Linked DNA regions of Saccharomyces cerevisiae S288C. The protein of the gene in region 2 interacts with the protein of the main gene of each other region in a biochemical or structural test. Each region holds a gene or a part of one and is shown on either strand. Other genes may lie near its edges.

What was found.
Region 1: the proteins of GRR1 (region 2) and CLN1 form a complex in vitro, tested with the Saccharomyces cerevisiae proteins (2 studies listed by BioGRID, with this or other methods).
Region 3: the proteins of GRR1 (region 2) and MKS1 form a complex in vitro, tested with the Saccharomyces cerevisiae proteins (one study listed by BioGRID).
Region 4: the proteins of GRR1 (region 2) and TYE7 form a complex in vitro, tested with the Saccharomyces cerevisiae proteins (one study listed by BioGRID).

Annotation. Positions count from the first base shown.
Region 1 is NC_001145.3:660,818-664,814, reverse strand, and holds CLN1 (cyclin CLN1), read right to left. Parts: upstream 2,172-3,997; coding exon 531-2,171; downstream 1-530. Other genes in the region: ROT1 (Rot1p), read right to left, coding at 1-63; CIK1 (Cik1p), read right to left, coding at 3,286-3,997. UniProt on the Saccharomyces cerevisiae protein: Essential for the control of the cell cycle at the G1/S (start) transition. Interacts with the CDC28 protein kinase to form MPF.
Region 2 is NC_001142.9:590,340-596,269, reverse strand, and holds GRR1 (SCF ubiquitin ligase complex subunit GRR1), read left to right. Parts: upstream 1-1,942; coding exon 1,943-5,398; downstream 5,399-5,930. Other genes in the region: JSN1 (Jsn1p), read left to right, coding at 1-1,209; BIR1 (survivin), read right to left, coding at 5,688-5,930. UniProt on the Saccharomyces cerevisiae protein: Substrate recognition component of a SCF (SKP1-CUL1-F-box protein) E3 ubiquitin-protein ligase complex which mediates the ubiquitination and subsequent proteasomal degradation of target proteins.
Region 3 is NC_001146.8:481,501-485,814, reverse strand, and holds MKS1 (Mks1p), read right to left. Parts: upstream 2,260-4,314; coding exon 505-2,259; downstream 1-504. Other genes in the region: snoRNA-binding rRNA-processing protein IMP4, read right to left, coding at 1-208; APJ1 (Apj1p), read right to left, coding at 2,838-4,314. UniProt on the Saccharomyces cerevisiae protein: Negative regulator of Ras-cAMP pathway. Involved in transcriptional regulation of galactose-inducible genes.
Region 4 is NC_001147.6:976,659-979,849, forward strand, and holds TYE7 (Tye7p), read right to left. Parts: upstream 1,412-3,191; coding exon 536-1,411; downstream 1-535. UniProt on the Saccharomyces cerevisiae protein: Transcriptional activator of glycolytic gene expression, such as enolase genes (ENO1 and ENO2), glyceraldehyde-3-phosphate dehydrogenase gene (TDH), phosphoglycerate kinase (PGK1), phosphoglycerate mutase (PGM1), pyruvate kinase (PYK1) and triosephosphate isomerase (TPI1) genes.

The DNA.
Region 1 (3,997 bases), on a different chromosome or scaffold from region 2:
CTTTTGAGCAAACAAATACCCGCCTAAGATTAGCTTTTTTAATGTAAACTTTTTCGACCACATAGTAATAAAGTGCAACAAATAATAATGGTTATAATACCGATCCTTTCCTCAGAATGATGTCTTACTTCAGTTTAATATGCCGGTAGGTTCTCGAAAAAGATGAGATCTCAAGCTTTAGTATGACTATATATCTATAATCTTAGAGAGGCTTTCTATTTATAACTGTTTGCTAATTACTACTCTCCTTTGCTTACCGCAAACGTTAGAACGAAAGGAAGAAAAAAATACTGGAAAATCGCGTCATCTTTTCCGTTCATGATGATAATTATATCAATCGTTGAAAGAATATTGGTATATTACTATTCAGCTGGTTTCAGGTGAAGAATATTGAGGCTAGATGTTTGTAGGTGGGCATTAAAATTATCTGGTATTAAAATGTCAAGTATGAATGTCATTATTACTTACGATGGAAAAGCGTAGTATTCCGTTATTAATTAAGTATATATGTAGGCTTGATGAGAAAATGGTCACAGTTGAGAGCTATTGTGGTTCCTTAACGATAGCGATATCGAAGACGCTCTATTAGTAAGTTCTCCTGTGTTCTGGAATATACCAGTCGTCATAAATTTGGCACGTTGTGGTATTTCAGCGGATGATGAGTTGGGAATTCTATTCTCTTTATTCCTTTCTTCTAGCATCATATTCTGATAATTGCTTGATAATGGCATGTTACCATTTTGGGTTTGATTAGGTAGACTGCTTACGCTTATGGCACTGTCACAAGCACTTTCGTTTTTAAACTGATTAAAAGTGTACATGTGAGGGGTGATCGGCGATGAATGGTCAATGTTGGTAGTACTGAAAACACTGTTGTCTGATTGTGCACTGAAGTTTCGCATTGGAGTATAATTGGTTCCCGAAGAATATGTGCTTGGAGAAGAAACTGATGATGAAGAGGCATTTTGGTCAAAGTAACGAGAATTGACAGCAATTTTTCTGGTTAGGTCTATTGTAGAGGCCAGTTGCAGTTTCTTTTGTAATTCCAAGTTATAATCTTTTACTTGTAATATGAAAGGTACTATACCATATTGCTCCTTATAAACTTCGACTAAAGATGGGGGAGAATTGACTATGCCATTGATGATAATGCTGAATACCTGCGTTTGAGTGTTTGAGTTTATATCATTACCAATGGGCATAGAGAGAAAAGGGCCTTGATCTTGATTAGTGAATTTGTTTATTATAGAAAACATACCATTGCATATTTCGTATAATTCGAATTTAAGCAAGTTGTATTGCCAACAGCTCAGATCAATTAAGAATCTTTTCAAATTTATCAATTTAATTTTGGAATTTAGTTCTTCATCTTCATCCATGGTAGTTGTATCGCCATCTAGTCCAGTACTTTGCGGTGAACTACTGATATGTTCTTCCACTGTGGCATCACTGTCGTCAGAAGATTGTGACTTTCTCTTACAGGACCATTCTTTGCCGTTGCTATTGTTATTTTGTAACTGGTTTTTGTAAAGTTCATATTGTATCAAACAATTTTCGTCAACGTTTAAAATGTAGTCATTAATCATGGGCTCATAAACGTCCCAGTTCAGAGTATCCAAGATATGTCTTTCCATTTGAATGAACATTGATTCATCGAATAAATCGGACCCGCCGCAATAATGAACCAATTCAGAAAGGCGTGGAATACGAGCTCTAGGATTGGGACCATAAAACCTACCACCTGTGGGGATGGAGACGTTGTTTATAATATGGTTGCACCCTCCCCAAGTTTTGGCCGCTAACCAAAGGCAGGTGCCTACAACTAGTTTAGCTTGGTCCTTTAACACTACTCTCTTAGAGCAATAGCGATCGTAGAACCTGACAGCGTGGAAGAAGATACCATTACTTACTCTAGTCATCACTGAAAGTTGATACAAAAATGTTACTATGGCTTCTCTAGTTTGATGAGGATTCATCTCCGGTTGCTGATCGATCAATTTTATGTCTGGTTTTGTCTTGGAAGATTGGACCAGCACATTTTGAGAGATTTCCTCGTGATATTCCTGTATGGTTTCGTAATGAGTTAGTAGTTCTGCATTGGACAATTCAATTGGGTAATATGTCTGCTTTGCAGTGACAATTAACCCAGTTTTCACTTCTGAGTGGTTCATGATCTTTTTATTTATTTTACAGAAATAGCTAACGAGCAGTGGAGTGGTGGTAGTGCTATTTTATTTAATTGCTATTATTGTTATCGTCGTTAAAATGTATTGTCAGCAAAATTACACTAATTTCTTCTATCCTGGGGAGATGGGATGAATAAATTGACAATAACCAGGAAATAAATTAAAGCGAACGAAGAACTCCTTGGCCAATTTGCTCTTAAGTGTGCATTCAACTAAGAAACTATTGAAGATAAGCATTACCAATTCCAAAATATATTCTTATATAAAAAGAGATACTAAGAAAATATCGAGAGATTAATTGCTGCACTCGCACCGGTACCACTTGGCGCAGGAAAACTGCGGTTTCCACAGGGGACCCACGCTGCCTTTACTCCATTCTCAATCTTGCCTTCTGCAGTATCTTTTTTTTTAATTTTCGAGTCTTCGTCACTTTCGAGTTAGTCTCCCTCCCAGCCTCGACCTGGCACCATTCAGCTCAATCCAGCAAAATCGCCAAAAATGCGTCTCCGATGCTTTCAAGGTTGGAAACTAACTAACGCGGTGCGAGATTCCCTCGAAGAAGTAAAATCGCGAATTCTTCCTTGAACGCGTCTCTTGCAGGCTGAACAAAGAAGTCGCTAGTGGATCGTCACAGAATGAACACGCCCACGAGCGGGATCTGGCTCGAGTTGTCATGAATACTGAAAGTATCAGGCGCGGGGTTGTAGTAGGTAAAGAATTTCTCCAAGAGGTTGTAGGAATGGACTTGTTTACCCCTTTACGCGCGGTGTTTTCGTGGCTTTACCGCATTGGGGTATGTCCCAGAAGAGAGTGTGCGCTATTCGATTTCCTATCAGTGAAGTGTTGCGAACAAGGGAATGCTGTCGAATTAGGAAAACAAAAGTTTATTCATGCAAATTTTGTGGCACGCTACCCTAAGTTCTCGATGATGTTTGGCTGCGTTTAAGTGAGTAATTTACATCCGCCTGTTAGTCCCGTAACATTCTCTTTTATTTTGCTAGGATAATTAGGTTGATGCCACGCACGACAATGTAGCTACGTAAGTTTTTTATGTAAGGGAACGAGACGAAGTGATTGTAGCGCACAAGATCTGGCCTTCTTAATCTAGCTGAGGTAATGTTATTGTTCTTTTCAGCTTTCCCGCTAAGGCTAGAGCCTTCTCGATGTTTTCACCAGCGTTAATCTTGAAGACAAAGCACTGCTTTGTTTTAGTGAGAATATGCGAAAGGACTGAGGGAGCATCATCAAGCTCTCTATTCAGCTGTACCGTGGACATACTACCGATATATATATTCATTGAATGGGACTCTTCATCTTTTCCCAACTTGGTATCTAAAGTTAAAATGTTCATGCATTCTTCATCTTGTGACAGATCTCTAATTTCTGTTGGGTTATCTAATCCAACGTCACTGTGTTTAATACTTCCGTCAAGATGCAAAATGTTCAATGTCATCTTATAATTCTCACCGTACTGCTCAATTAACTGTTTTAGCAAAGTCTTTTTCATTGGTGCTGTGGGTTGCTGCGAAACCACTATAATGCTGCAGTTAATTAACTTGCTGATGTATTTTTCCAGGAACGGAATGCATTCGTTATATAAGCGTTTGTGATCCTTATGGATTTCTTCGAGAACTACTCTATCAAATACTTGTACCCGTTTTTCTCCACTATTCTCGCAAATGCACCGATCCACATAGTTGATATGGAATTCATCAGGCATTTGTCGTTCATTGGCATACGCAAAGCATCGGGTGTATCCTTTGATTTCTTCAATTGAAGTGGCCAGATTTTGTCGTGTGTATAATTCCTGT
Region 2 (5,930 bases):
GGGGTCAAGGACTACTGTACTCCATTAATCAATGACCAATTCGGAAATTATGTCATACAGTGCGTTTTGAAATTTGGATTCCCCTGGAACCAGTTTATTTTTGAAAGTATAATAGCTAATTTTTGGGTTATTGTTCAGAATAGATATGGTGCAAGGGCAGTCAGAGCTTGTTTAGAGGCACATGACATTGTAACTCCTGAACAATCAATAGTTTTGAGTGCAATGATCGTTACATATGCTGAATATCTAAGCACTAATAGCAATGGTGCGTTGTTAGTAACGTGGTTTTTAGATACTAGTGTTTTACCCAACAGACATTCTATCTTGGCACCAAGATTGACGAAAAGAATTGTAGAGTTATGTGGCCACAGATTGGCTTCTTTGACTATTTTGAAGGTCTTGAATTACAGAGGGGATGATAACGCTAGAAAAATCATCCTAGATTCCCTATTTGGAAACGTGAACGCACACGATTCTTCGCCACCAAAGGAATTAACAAAGCTTTTATGTGAAACAAATTATGGCCCAACCTTTGTCCATAAAGTTTTAGCAATGCCATTATTAGAAGATGACTTAAGAGCCCACATCATTAAACAAGTCAGAAAAGTATTGACGGATTCTACTCAAATCCAACCAAGCCGCCGTTTATTGGAAGAAGTCGGGTTGGCATCACCCTCTAGTACTCATAACAAGACAAAACAACAACAGCAGCAGCATCATAACAGCAGCATTTCGCACATGTTCGCCACTCCTGATACTTCTGGACAACACATGAGAGGTCTTTCTGTTTCTAGCGTTAAAAGTGGTGGATCTAAACATACCACAATGAACACCACGACTACAAATGGTTCTTCTGCCTCTACATTATCCCCGGGCCAACCATTGAATGCCAATTCTAATTCTTCAATGGGCTATTTTAGTTATCCTGGCGTCTTCCCTGTCAGCGGCTTTTCAGGCAACGCCAGTAATGGATATGCTATGAACAACGATGACTTAAGTTCCCAGTTTGATATGCTAAACTTTAATAACGGAACCCGTTTATCGTTGCCACAACTGAGCCTAACTAACCATAACAACACTACTATGGAATTAGTAAACAATGTTGGCTCCTCACAACCTCATACGAACAACAACAACAATAATAACAACACGAACTATAACGACGATAACACCGTTTTTGAAACTCTGACTTTACACTCTGCAAACTGACGTCCCCATGTTTTCTTTTATTTCCGTCATCATTGGGAGACCACGCCGTTTTCTTCTCATACCTGCATCCATTCAAAACTATCTCATTTACCCCCAACGGTTTTATGGTTCAAATCCTAATAGAATATGAGCGAGCTAATGAAGAATTTGGGCATTTTCATTACTGGGAAGACGTGTCTTTTTCAAGCCATCATATCGCCAAATTTTTTTTCTACACCTAATCATGATTAAATAAATCCATAAAGTTTTATACAGTTTTTAAAAATATCATCATTTATTACCCAGATGTGTTAATGAACATTTATAGTCATCATTACTAGGCTTTCATTACTACTGAGGTTACCCGCCTATGGACCTTCCTTGGTAAAGGAACTTGTTTTAAAATTTGCCTTTTAACAAATTTAGTGATATGATTATCAAAAAAGGCGTGGCAAAATACATAACACCAAATTTAACTGTGCCTGTGTGTTACTTTCTTTTGTCCATACTTCACCAGTTTTTCGATTTTACACAATAATTCGTTTTCATTTAATCGTTCTCTTAGAAGCCCGGTTTTTGAATATCAAAATCGTACTTGTGTCCAACTAGCAGGGAAGCCCAAAAATTAAGGCATTGCATTTAAGCTTACACCTGCGTGAAATCTTGAAATTTCTCATTGATTTCGGCACAATAATTATCATTGGTAGTGAGGCTAAACAGTTTTGCGGTTTCCTTTATACTAAGAAGGTCTATAATGGATCAGGATAACAACAACCACAATGACAGCAATAGGCTGCACCCACCTGATATACATCCAAATTTGGGCCCTCAATTGTGGCTGAATAGTAGCGGTGATTTTGACGACAACAACAACAACAACAACAACAACAACAATAATAATAGCACAAGACCACAAATGCCATCACGAACTAGAGAAACGGCAACTTCGGAAAGAAATGCAAGTGAGGTTAGGGATGCAACGCTAAATAATATCTTTAGGTTCGATAGTATTCAACGGGAAACGCTTTTGCCAACCAACAACGGACAACCGCTAAATCAAAACTTTTCGCTGACATTTCAACCACAACAGCAAACAAATGCGCTGAACGGGATTGACATAAACACTGTGAACACAAACCTTATGAATGGTGTCAATGTTCAAATAGATCAACTTAATCGATTGTTACCGAACCTACCAGAGGAAGAACGGAAGCAAATCCACGAATTCAAGCTAATAGTGGGCAAAAAAATCCAAGAGTTTCTGGTTGTTATAGAGAAACGTAGAAAAAAAATACTGAACGAAATTGAGCTAGACAACCTTAAACTAAAGGAGCTACGTATTGATAACTCCCCACAAGCAATTAGTTATTTGCATAAATTACAAAGAATGAGGCTTAGGGCGCTAGAGACAGAAAACATGGAAATTAGAAATTTAAGGCTAAAAATATTAACAATTATAGAAGAGTACAAAAAGTCATTATATGCATACTGCCATTCCAAGCTAAGAGGTCAACAAGTGGAAAATCCAACAGATAATTTCATCATTTGGATAAACTCCATAGATACTACTGAATCATCTGACTTGAAAGAAGGGCTACAAGATCTTTCGAGATATTCAAGGCAGTTCATAAATAATGTGCTTTCGAATCCATCAAATCAAAACATATGTACGAGTGTCACCCGAAGATCACCTGTGTTTGCCCTAAACATGCTACCCTCGGAAATATTACACTTAATATTAGATAAACTTAACCAAAAATATGATATTGTAAAATTCCTTACCGTTTCCAAACTCTGGGCTGAAATAATTGTGAAGATACTTTATTACAGACCGCACATCAACAAAAAGAGTCAATTAGACTTGTTTTTAAGGACTATGAAGTTAACTTCTGAAGAAACTGTATTCAACTATCGTTTAATGATCAAAAGATTAAATTTTTCATTTGTTGGTGACTACATGCACGATACAGAGCTTAACTATTTTGTCGGATGTAAGAATTTGGAGCGACTAACTTTAGTATTTTGCAAGCATATAACCAGTGTTCCAATATCGGCTGTTTTGAGAGGATGTAAATTTCTCCAAAGTGTGGATATCACTGGAATAAGAGACGTTTCCGATGACGTATTTGATACCTTAGCGACATATTGTCCCAGAGTACAGGGCTTTTATGTTCCTCAGGCAAGGAATGTAACATTCGATTCACTGCGGAATTTCATAGTCCATTCCCCGATGTTGAAAAGAATAAAAATCACAGCAAACAATAACATGAATGACGAATTAGTAGAACTATTAGCCAACAAATGCCCTTTGCTTGTAGAGGTCGATATAACATTAAGTCCAAATGTCACTGATTCTAGTTTGTTAAAACTCCTCACTAGGTTAGTTCAGCTGAGGGAATTCAGAATAACTCATAATACGAATATTACGGATAATCTTTTCCAGGAGCTTTCTAAAGTAGTTGACGATATGCCCTCTTTAAGATTGATTGATCTTTCTGGATGTGAAAATATTACAGATAAAACTATAGAAAGTATAGTCAATTTAGCCCCTAAATTACGTAATGTTTTTCTAGGCAAGTGTAGCCGAATTACAGATGCATCGTTGTTCCAATTATCGAAGCTGGGCAAAAACTTGCAAACAGTGCATTTTGGGCACTGTTTCAATATAACTGATAACGGGGTAAGAGCACTCTTTCATTCATGTACAAGAATACAGTATGTGGACTTTGCGTGCTGTACGAATTTAACCAATAGAACTCTTTATGAACTAGCAGACTTACCAAAATTAAAGAGAATTGGCCTTGTCAAATGTACGCAAATGACTGACGAGGGTTTGTTGAATATGGTTTCCTTGCGAGGCCGAAATGATACTTTAGAAAGGGTACATTTATCTTACTGTTCTAATTTAACAATATATCCGATATATGAGCTTCTAATGTCTTGCCCAAGGCTCTCACATTTGTCTTTGACTGCTGTTCCGTCATTTTTACGCCCCGATATAACGATGTATTGCAGGCCTGCACCCTCAGACTTTAGTGAAAATCAACGTCAAATATTCTGCGTATTTTCAGGGAAAGGTGTTCATAAACTTCGCCATTATTTAGTAAATTTAACGTCGCCCGCTTTTGGACCACATGTCGATGTAAATGATGTTTTGACAAAATATATTAGATCCAAGAATTTGATATTTAACGGTGAAACACTTGAAGATGCTCTTAGGAGAATCATAACTGATTTAAATCAAGATTCCGCTGCAATTATAGCTGCTACAGGATTAAATCAAATCAACGGTCTAAATAACGATTTTCTTTTCCAGAATATCAATTTTGAACGAATAGATGAAGTATTCAGTTGGTATCTCAATACTTTTGATGGCATTAGGATGAGCTCGGAGGAAGTTAACTCACTATTATTGCAAGTAAACAAGACGTTTTGTGAAGATCCATTTAGTGATGTGGACGATGATCAAGATTATGTCGTAGCACCTGGTGTAAACCGGGAAATTAACAGTGAAATGTGTCATATTGTTAGAAAATTCCATGAGTTAAATGATCATATTGATGATTTCGAGGTGAATGTTGCTAGTTTGGTAAGAGTTCAGTTTCAGTTTACTGGTTTTTTACTTCATGAAATGACTCAAACCTATATGCAAATGATTGAATTAAACAGACAAATTTGTTTAGTACAAAAAACGGTTCAGGAATCGGGCAACATAGATTACCAAAAAGGGCTTTTAATATGGCGACTTTTATTCATTGACAAATTCATTATGGTGGTTCAGAAGTACAAGCTCTCCACCGTTGTTTTGAGACTATATTTAAAAGATAACATAACATTGTTAACCAGACAAAGAGAACTATTAATAGCCCACCAAAGATCAGCATGGAATAACAATAATGACAATGACGCCAACCGGAACGCCAACAACATAGTGAATATTGTATCGGATGCTGGGGCAAACGATACAAGTAACAATGAAACTAACAATGGTAATGATGACAATGAAACAGAAAATCCAAATTTCTGGCGTCAGTTTGGCAATAGAATGCAAATATCACCTGACCAGATGAGGAATCTCCAAATGGGACTTCGTAATCAGAACATGGTTAGGAACAATAACAACAACACAATTGACGAATCAATGCCTGACACTGCCATTGATTCTCAAATGGATGAAGCATCAGGAACGCCCGATGAAGATATGTTATAATTGTATTTCATTGAATACTTACTGTCCTACTACACCTTTATTTTCAAAATCCCACTTTTCTTACTTATTTACATATAAATACATAATGCATTCACTTTGAAACTTTTTGCCTTAGCATGTATACGCTATAGACTTGCGGTATCAACGAATATACGTAACGTTGTCACGTCCACAGAAGATGCTATGTCAACAGTTCCCTGCAGATATCTGCGATGCGGCGAAACATTCTATACACAGTTTCAAAACTACAAAAAATACAAACCTTTAGCCTGTTTATCAAATTAGTTAGCTATAAAATGCCCATTTTCTTAGCAATATCGATCAATTGATTGTCATCTTCCAAAGTTTCAATAAAATTTGTGGCAGTATAGTAATCCCTTCTCAATATGTCCAATTTCTTATCACAGTCATCTATAAATTCGCGCTTAATAGATTGCACTTTTAGGTTCACCCAATTGTTGAATGTCATGTCCAACTCTTCTGCAGGCATTTGCTTAATCAAAAAAGCCAGATCACCGTCTTTGTCATTAGC
Region 3 (4,314 bases), on a different chromosome or scaffold from region 2:
CATCTGCTTCTTCGCTCTCCTTTAAACTTTGGTCATATCTGAAATCCTTTTGTAAACTCTCATCTTCTGCTAGTTCCTTTGGCAATGGCTTCCCCTGAGCTAGCGCTTGTTTAATTATTTGACGTTTTTGTTGCAGTTGAGAATCTTGTAATTCTTGCGCTTTTCTGTATAGATATTCTCTCCTTTCACGGGCTTGTCTTCTTAGCATTTCGATTTAACTGTTTTATTATTTATGGGAACACTTGAATCAATGATAAAACCGAGTATATATGCCCTTTCAAGTCCAACCTCATGCAATCAATATATACGCTACTTCATGCATTTTCATCTCATCGCATTTCCGGGATAAAATTTTTTATATTTTTCAGTACACAATATCCGTTACCCGAAGTGAATAGTGTGTCATTAGAAGGAACTCTTTCACTGCGTAGATAGTAAAATATATGACATTATCTTTTTTTGAAAGAACTTTAAATACTGTATCTGATTTATTTAACTTAGTAATCATATTCGCCCTCCATTACTCGTCTTACGCCCCAGTGCTTCCGTTCTCTGATTAGAGGTGTCATCATTACCATTTCCATTACTGTTTGCAATACTCGTATTGTCAAGCCGTGATATTGTACGTACCATCTTTTCTTCCTCAGAGATCTCCATTCTGGTCTTCAAAAACCCAGTATTCCTGTTCTTGGATGGGATATCCATCGACTGCCGCCTCGAAAAACGATGTCGCGTATTACTACCAGTGGCAATCGCCATTCGTTGTTGGTGAATGTTATTTGGCAAAAACATGTGAGTAGATAAGGCGGTGGGCAGTATAGTTTGAGCAGTTAGCGGAGCATTAGATTCATATAAATGATTGGACTCATTATCAGTTTTGAAGTCCTTTTGTATATCCATCGATAACCGCTCATTGTTGGATGGTTGCGGGGGAGATAGCGATGCTAGAGCTGTCACGTTGCTTGTTTTCAAAGAAGGTTTTTGTTGTTTTATACCATTAGCGCTCGGTGGATTTTGCTGCGGTTGAGGACCGATATTACTATGAGAGGACTGAGGAGTCGGCGAAACGTGTTTAGAAGCGTATTCACTATGTGCAGTATTGTGGTTATTACTGTTGCTATTTGCCTCACTAAGGAATAGTCCACTGAGTAAACTTTTTCGTACGGGATCATGGGATGTGTTTGAGTTGATTGTGTTCGCTGATGAAACAGATGATTTCGTTGAGTCAAGATTCTGTTGATTTTTGGCAAATAAAAGCTTGTCCCATTGTCTTCTATAGTACTGATCTGCTTCTTCCTCATTATAATCATCGTACTCTTCATCATCTTCATCAGCGTAGAATTCTGAATCATTCGAAACGCTGTCCCAATCGGAATCTTCATCTTCACTGCTGAAAAATATCTTGTTTTTTCCTTTTCTAGAGGATGTTTTCGAAAGTGACAGTTGACCATTTTGGTCATTCTTGTAAGACCTTGGCCTTCCGAATAAAGATTCCTTCTGAGGAAAAGAGGATTTTCTACTTCCCATATTTTCAAGAGTAGGACTGGTACTCTTGGAAGTCTCATTATCAATGCAGTTCATGTTCATGTCTCCTATATGCTGGAAAGGTGATCTTGAGCGTCTTGATTGTAAAGGTTTCTTGGTTATAACAGTGCTTGTATCAAAACCAGTGATAATAGTTTGTGGTTCTTCCTTATTAGCAACATGGTTCACATTTTTCATTTTTTGATATTTGTCTGCAAAATTTGAAAACAACCCTGACGTAGTAGATTTGGAGAATTGTCTGTTTGGAGCAACGTCATTTTTCACATCATTGTTTGTAGAATTAGGATTATCCAAGGATCTATCGTGAGCACCCTGTGCGATAGCTGGTGATGTCATTGGCCGAGTTAAAACGTTCTGTTTTGCCGTTGTGGGAGGCAAATTGGCCTTTTGTAATGGTGGCTGCTTTACTGCTGCCTGCTTTGGCTTTATTGGCTGTTTGTTGTTTGGATTTAACACATAATATATGTTCTTCACGCCGTCTCTTTTTTTAGATCGATTAATATTATGCTCCTTTAGAACAGCTTTATTCAGAATTCTCCAACTTATATTGTGCAGCCTTTCTCCCTGCTCGACACATTTGGATGCTTTTATTAACGTAAGATATAGTTCGACATCATCAAATAAATTCAATCGCTCTGGGGTAAATAAATTAGGTGTGACTTTTAAAAACTTGTTAGTACCTATATTCGGTACATCAAATGCCTCCCGCGACATCAGTTCTTTTTTTTTATTAGGATTAGAGAATAATTAGGAAGTGTTGCTTAAGTAAATGAGATGGAACTAAGGGGTAGTTCTCTTTTTTCTTGAGGGTTGTGCTCTGTTCGTTTTCACGCAATAGTACAGTATATGTTTCTCCTTTTGTTCAGATCATTCAAATAAAAAGCAAAAAGGAAAGAAAATGAACACTTGGGTTAAAGATCCCTACTGCTGAAACCAAAACGATATTTTGATGAACTTAGAAATATGATCAGTGGTGAACTTCCCTTGCTTCTCTGTAACAACGGCATGCACATTCTAATCGGTTTTTTTTTTTGCTTTTCTGTTAAGTAACCTCCCACGATCTCTTGGCAGGCACTAAGAAAAAGATGAATAACAATGTATTACACGCTAAAAAAACTGCTAAAGGACTAGGGCTGCAATGATATTACCACCCAAACCGCGGTAAACCATCCACAGGAAGAATAGCGTATCTTTCCGCATTGCTTAAAAAAAGGAATGTCCTTATAGATAGAGTACTGATACAAAAAATAAAAATAGAAAATGTATAACATTACTGCATGACTATATAACCTTCAATATCCATTAATATCATGGTCATAAAAACCGCTTACCGGTGAAGAATATTTATTTCGTTTCGTTTCATTATTATTATTAATATTACTTTCGTCGAATCGACGGTTGTTCCTTTTCCGAGAATCTCTTTCATTAATCAAATCACCAAGGTCGTCGTCTTCAATAACTTCATTGTTTAAATTAGGGGCCTCAAAGCTACTTAACACATGCTCTTCCACACTGTCATATGACTTCTCCAAATCGCAATAGCAGTCTGAATCTGCGGTTTCCATGGTGGAACGTTCTGCTTTAATGTATTTATCATTAGCCAGAATATTTTGTATTTTCTTAGCATTTTCAGGTTCCAGTCTCTCTGGATACGTCACATCGAATTTGACATATAGATGACCGAAACCGCTCCGAACACCGTTGATAAACTTGGGCATCCCCATGTCCTCAACAGTCTTGAAACAACCAGGCTTCAGTATCTCGCCAGGTATAATATCAAGTTTGATCAACTTACCGCTAGGGTGCCCTTCAATATAAACTACGCCTCCACATAAACTGGTCATGAAGTCGATTTTGCACTTCTTACATATCAAATTGGAGTAGTTGATAACCTGGAAATTCGGATCTTTTAAACGTAAAATGGTGATAACGACGTCACCAGGTATTACCTTTTCGTGACCGCCTCCCTTAGTACTAATAACTTCGTCACCTTCGCCCGTAAGTACTATAAGTTGGTTATGACACGATCCCGGTTGAACGGTGACTTGTAGAATCTTCCTCTCCTTAATGAAGCCAAGACCTTGGCACTGTTGGCAAATATCTTTATTTTTGACAAAAACCCCGGCACCCCCGCAATCTGCACAAGTTTGAGACCAACTTTGTACTAGAGGTCCCATACGCCTAGTTTGGGTTTGAATACCTTGCCCTTTGCATGTTTTACAAGTGCATTTCTTTAGACCACCGTGCCCATCACAAACACTGCAAATCCTTGTCCTATTCAAACCCAACTTTGCAGTCTTACCCATGTAGAGTTCCTTCAATGTGCACTTTAGATTATGTTTGATATCAGGGCCTCTATCCAAATGATGGTCCTCATCGTTGGAGTTGTATTTTGCTGACGAGGAGTACAGATTGTTCACGCCACTGCCATTAACAAAGGAGAAGCTCGGCGTAGAGCTATTATTGAAGCTAAAATTAAAACTGCTTTTGGAGCCATTAGAAGAGGGGGTAGCAGAACTATTAAAAAACTGCGCGAAAAGATCACCTGGAGATAGATCCGGGAATGACATTGCTTCCGTATCGAAATTTGAGGATGAACTGAACGGCCCGGCTTGTTGGCGTTGCGCCTGCGCCTGCTGCTCTTGAATCAGGACTTCATCTGTGGTACCGTACTGGTCATACAAAGCTCTTAAACGATTGTCTTTAAGTATTTCGTATGCCTGGCATATCTCTTGAAACTTTCGCTTGGATTCTTCTGTATGATTGTTT
Region 4 (3,191 bases), on a different chromosome or scaffold from region 2:
ATGTAATGAATAGAAAAGGCCGTAATAAGATAATAAAATAAAATAAATGAGAAAAGTTTGAGAAGAGTTCGTTCGTATAAATCATTAAGGTGTATGTGTTTGTTGAAATAAAAAAAATTGATTTTTTTTTATTTTTTCGGTTTTGGCATACATATCCGTCCGTAGCTGAAACGGAATTTCGTCATGTCTTGTGCTTTCTTGGCTATGAACCACGCGTCATTAATGTGTATAAAGGAGGAATAAAATTAGAATTTTTTTTGAATAATACGAAATAGAAAAGAAAAAGGTATGAAAAGTGCGCATCACGATTTATCATCCTTCTTTAGTGGGGATTTTTTTTTTTTATCTTTTTGTATGTTTTTTCCAACTTCTTTTTTTTTTTTGTATTCTTGTCTGCTATGTTATGGCCTTGTTATTTTTTGGGCTTGTTTTTTAAAGTACTTCGCTAAGAAAGAAAAAAATGTCGCATAAACAAAAGAGGAGAAAGGAATTTCTATCGTAATTTTATAATATTGGTGTTTAAGCAAGCGTGCTTTTATTTTTGGTCTTGTTTCAAAGTGTCGATTTCACTTTTCAACCTTTGAACTTCCATTTCGTATAGTCGTTCGTTATTTTGTAGATATAGAATATAGTCAACAGCTTTTTCTAGGATCATGCTTTTATTTAGCTTCGTGCTTGTAGCAGCGGCAGATGGAAGAGGAGTAGTAGCGGCAGTTTCTGCGCCGTCTTCGTCCTGTTTTTTTACAGAATCACCTACTTCGAAAGCTGTTTGTTCACTTGCTACCCATGGGATAATCTGCTGCAGTCTTGCAATCTTTGTGTTGATGTTTATTCTGTAGCGTTTTTCAATCTTGTTGTGAGCTTGCTTTTGGAAGGGGGTCAGTCTTTTTCTTGGAGCCCTCTTTTTCGTTTCCTTAGCATCTAGATTTGTTTTTATAAACGAGTCGTTTAGCTCGATTTCATTCTTAAGTGGGGTACTATCGTCATTATTATCAGTATTTATCATGTTAGGCATTAATTGCAAAGAAGCCGGTTCAAAATCTGCCAACGAAAGGGCATTGTCATCCTCTTCTCTTTTTATCGAGCTGCTAACCTCGGGAGAATGCGAGTATGAGGAAGGATTACTGAAAAACTGATCTGTTGGAAAAAGAGCAGATTCCTCGTTGTTGGAAGATATAAACTGGTCTTCGATTGGAGAGCCTATCGAGGAGCTGGATGCAGAGGAGATAATGTTTTCCAATGGTTCGAACCATGTGGAAGAAGATGCAGAAAGAACTGACGAGGAGTCCTTGTTGACGTTGATATGACTAGCTCCGTCATTTTCATCCGACAACCAATTATCAAATTCAGATTCAGGTTTAATTAAAGTAGTTTCGCTAGATCTAACATTTCTGTCTAAAATAGAGTTCATAATTGTTAAACTTGAAGAGATTTGATAGTGTGTTATTTGTCTTTATTTTTATTTTTGCACTAAAAGTTTATGAAGTGAACAAAAAAAAAAAATAATAGTAAAGTAGAGAGACTTTAGATCGGTACTGCTTGTGGTGCTTTACGCTTAATAAGAAAGAAAATGAGAAAAGAGAGAAATATGTAAAGAATAAAGGTTGATGGTTGGGAAATATAAAATAAGGATGTAATTAAGATAGCTTTACTTTCCCATGAATTGATATATGAAGTGAAAAAGGATGTAAATAAGTTTAAATTTTGGAGATAACAAAAGAAGTTTATATAAGTACATTTGATTGTTGAGGTGAGAAAAAAAAAGGAAACAGAGGTGAAAAAAATTAATAGCAAACGTTGCGTTTTGCATTTCTACTAAGAATGGAAATGTCGCAGACACGGTATCATCTACACTGTGAAAAAGAAATGAAAATGAGAATTGTTATTTGGCGAACTGTGAACGTGCGCAGGGCAGAATCCCATTGTACGGTTCGTACGTGGGCACAATGAATTACTACTAGGGTAAGAAATGACCGCAGCAGCATGAACATTCTAGAACAAAATTTGATTCCTTACCGAATGGAGAGAGGCCACGTTGTTAGGGGAGTAACAGCGCAATGAAGTGAGCTCAATCCCACTCCAGAAGGGCTTGTGTACGGCCGGAACTGGGCTAAGCAGTATCCGCGGGTGAAAGTCAAGGTCAGCTTGTTCCGGTTTCAAAAGGAAGATTTTCCGGGATACCTCTGGGTGTAACATTCAGATGCGTGCGTCATTTATTCTCTACCCATGTGGTGCCTGCCAGATCCGGTAAGTACCGCCCAGCATAGCGTATACACAAGGATGAATGGGTTCTACGACACCGCGGTTTAAGGAAGTTGCCGCATTTGGCATGGTGTGGTGATGTCTCTTTTCCTAAACCAGACTGAGACAGGTTTATTTCACCGATTTTTTTTTGCTTTGGCATAATAGAATGTCCAAGAAGGGTATTTTACTATCTTACACGTGTTTGTAACATAAACGACAATTTTGTAGCACAACTAGGGCATGTCAGTCTGAGTCGTATTAGCGCCCTCCCCCTTACTTCAACAGTATCGTAGGATTGGCATTGCATATACGCCGATTTTAGCGTTGTTAATTGATCATTGCTGGCTTGCCACGTGATGGCAATAGGCTTTCTCTCGTGCTCGACCCCTAATGTCAGTTCAAGCAGGGAACGTGCCAAACATGGCTAGTGCATTTTTTACGTAAGCCGCAAAGAGGTTCCTCTTTTCTTAGTGTTTCGCCCTACTGATAAGAATGTGAAAAAGTAAACGATAAGATTAATATAATTAAAAAATGTTTCAATTCTAGACATCGTACCCACAAAGGCTGCCCATATCATATCGTAATACAGATCCGCTTTTCAGATTACATCCGATTTTCAGACTGAAAAGCAGCATAGCGGCAGTATGATGAATACAAGCGCGCTTATCTGTCGCTCTTCTTACTTGGAAAGGGAATCATATTACCCGGCAGGGCGCTGACGGGAGCCGCATTAAATAAGCATACGAAAATCATCAAGGTTATCGGCATTTAATTTTTTAGAGGCTTCTTTATATCCCATAGTTAGATTATTCAATCAAAAGGTTGTAAATGCCTATTAAGTTGCCTCTTGTCATGGTCCCATATTCCCTGAGGCATTCCTGCCAAGAATAATGGATTTCTTTCATGCATAATTATTGAGTATTTGAATCATCTACATCGCACCCAAA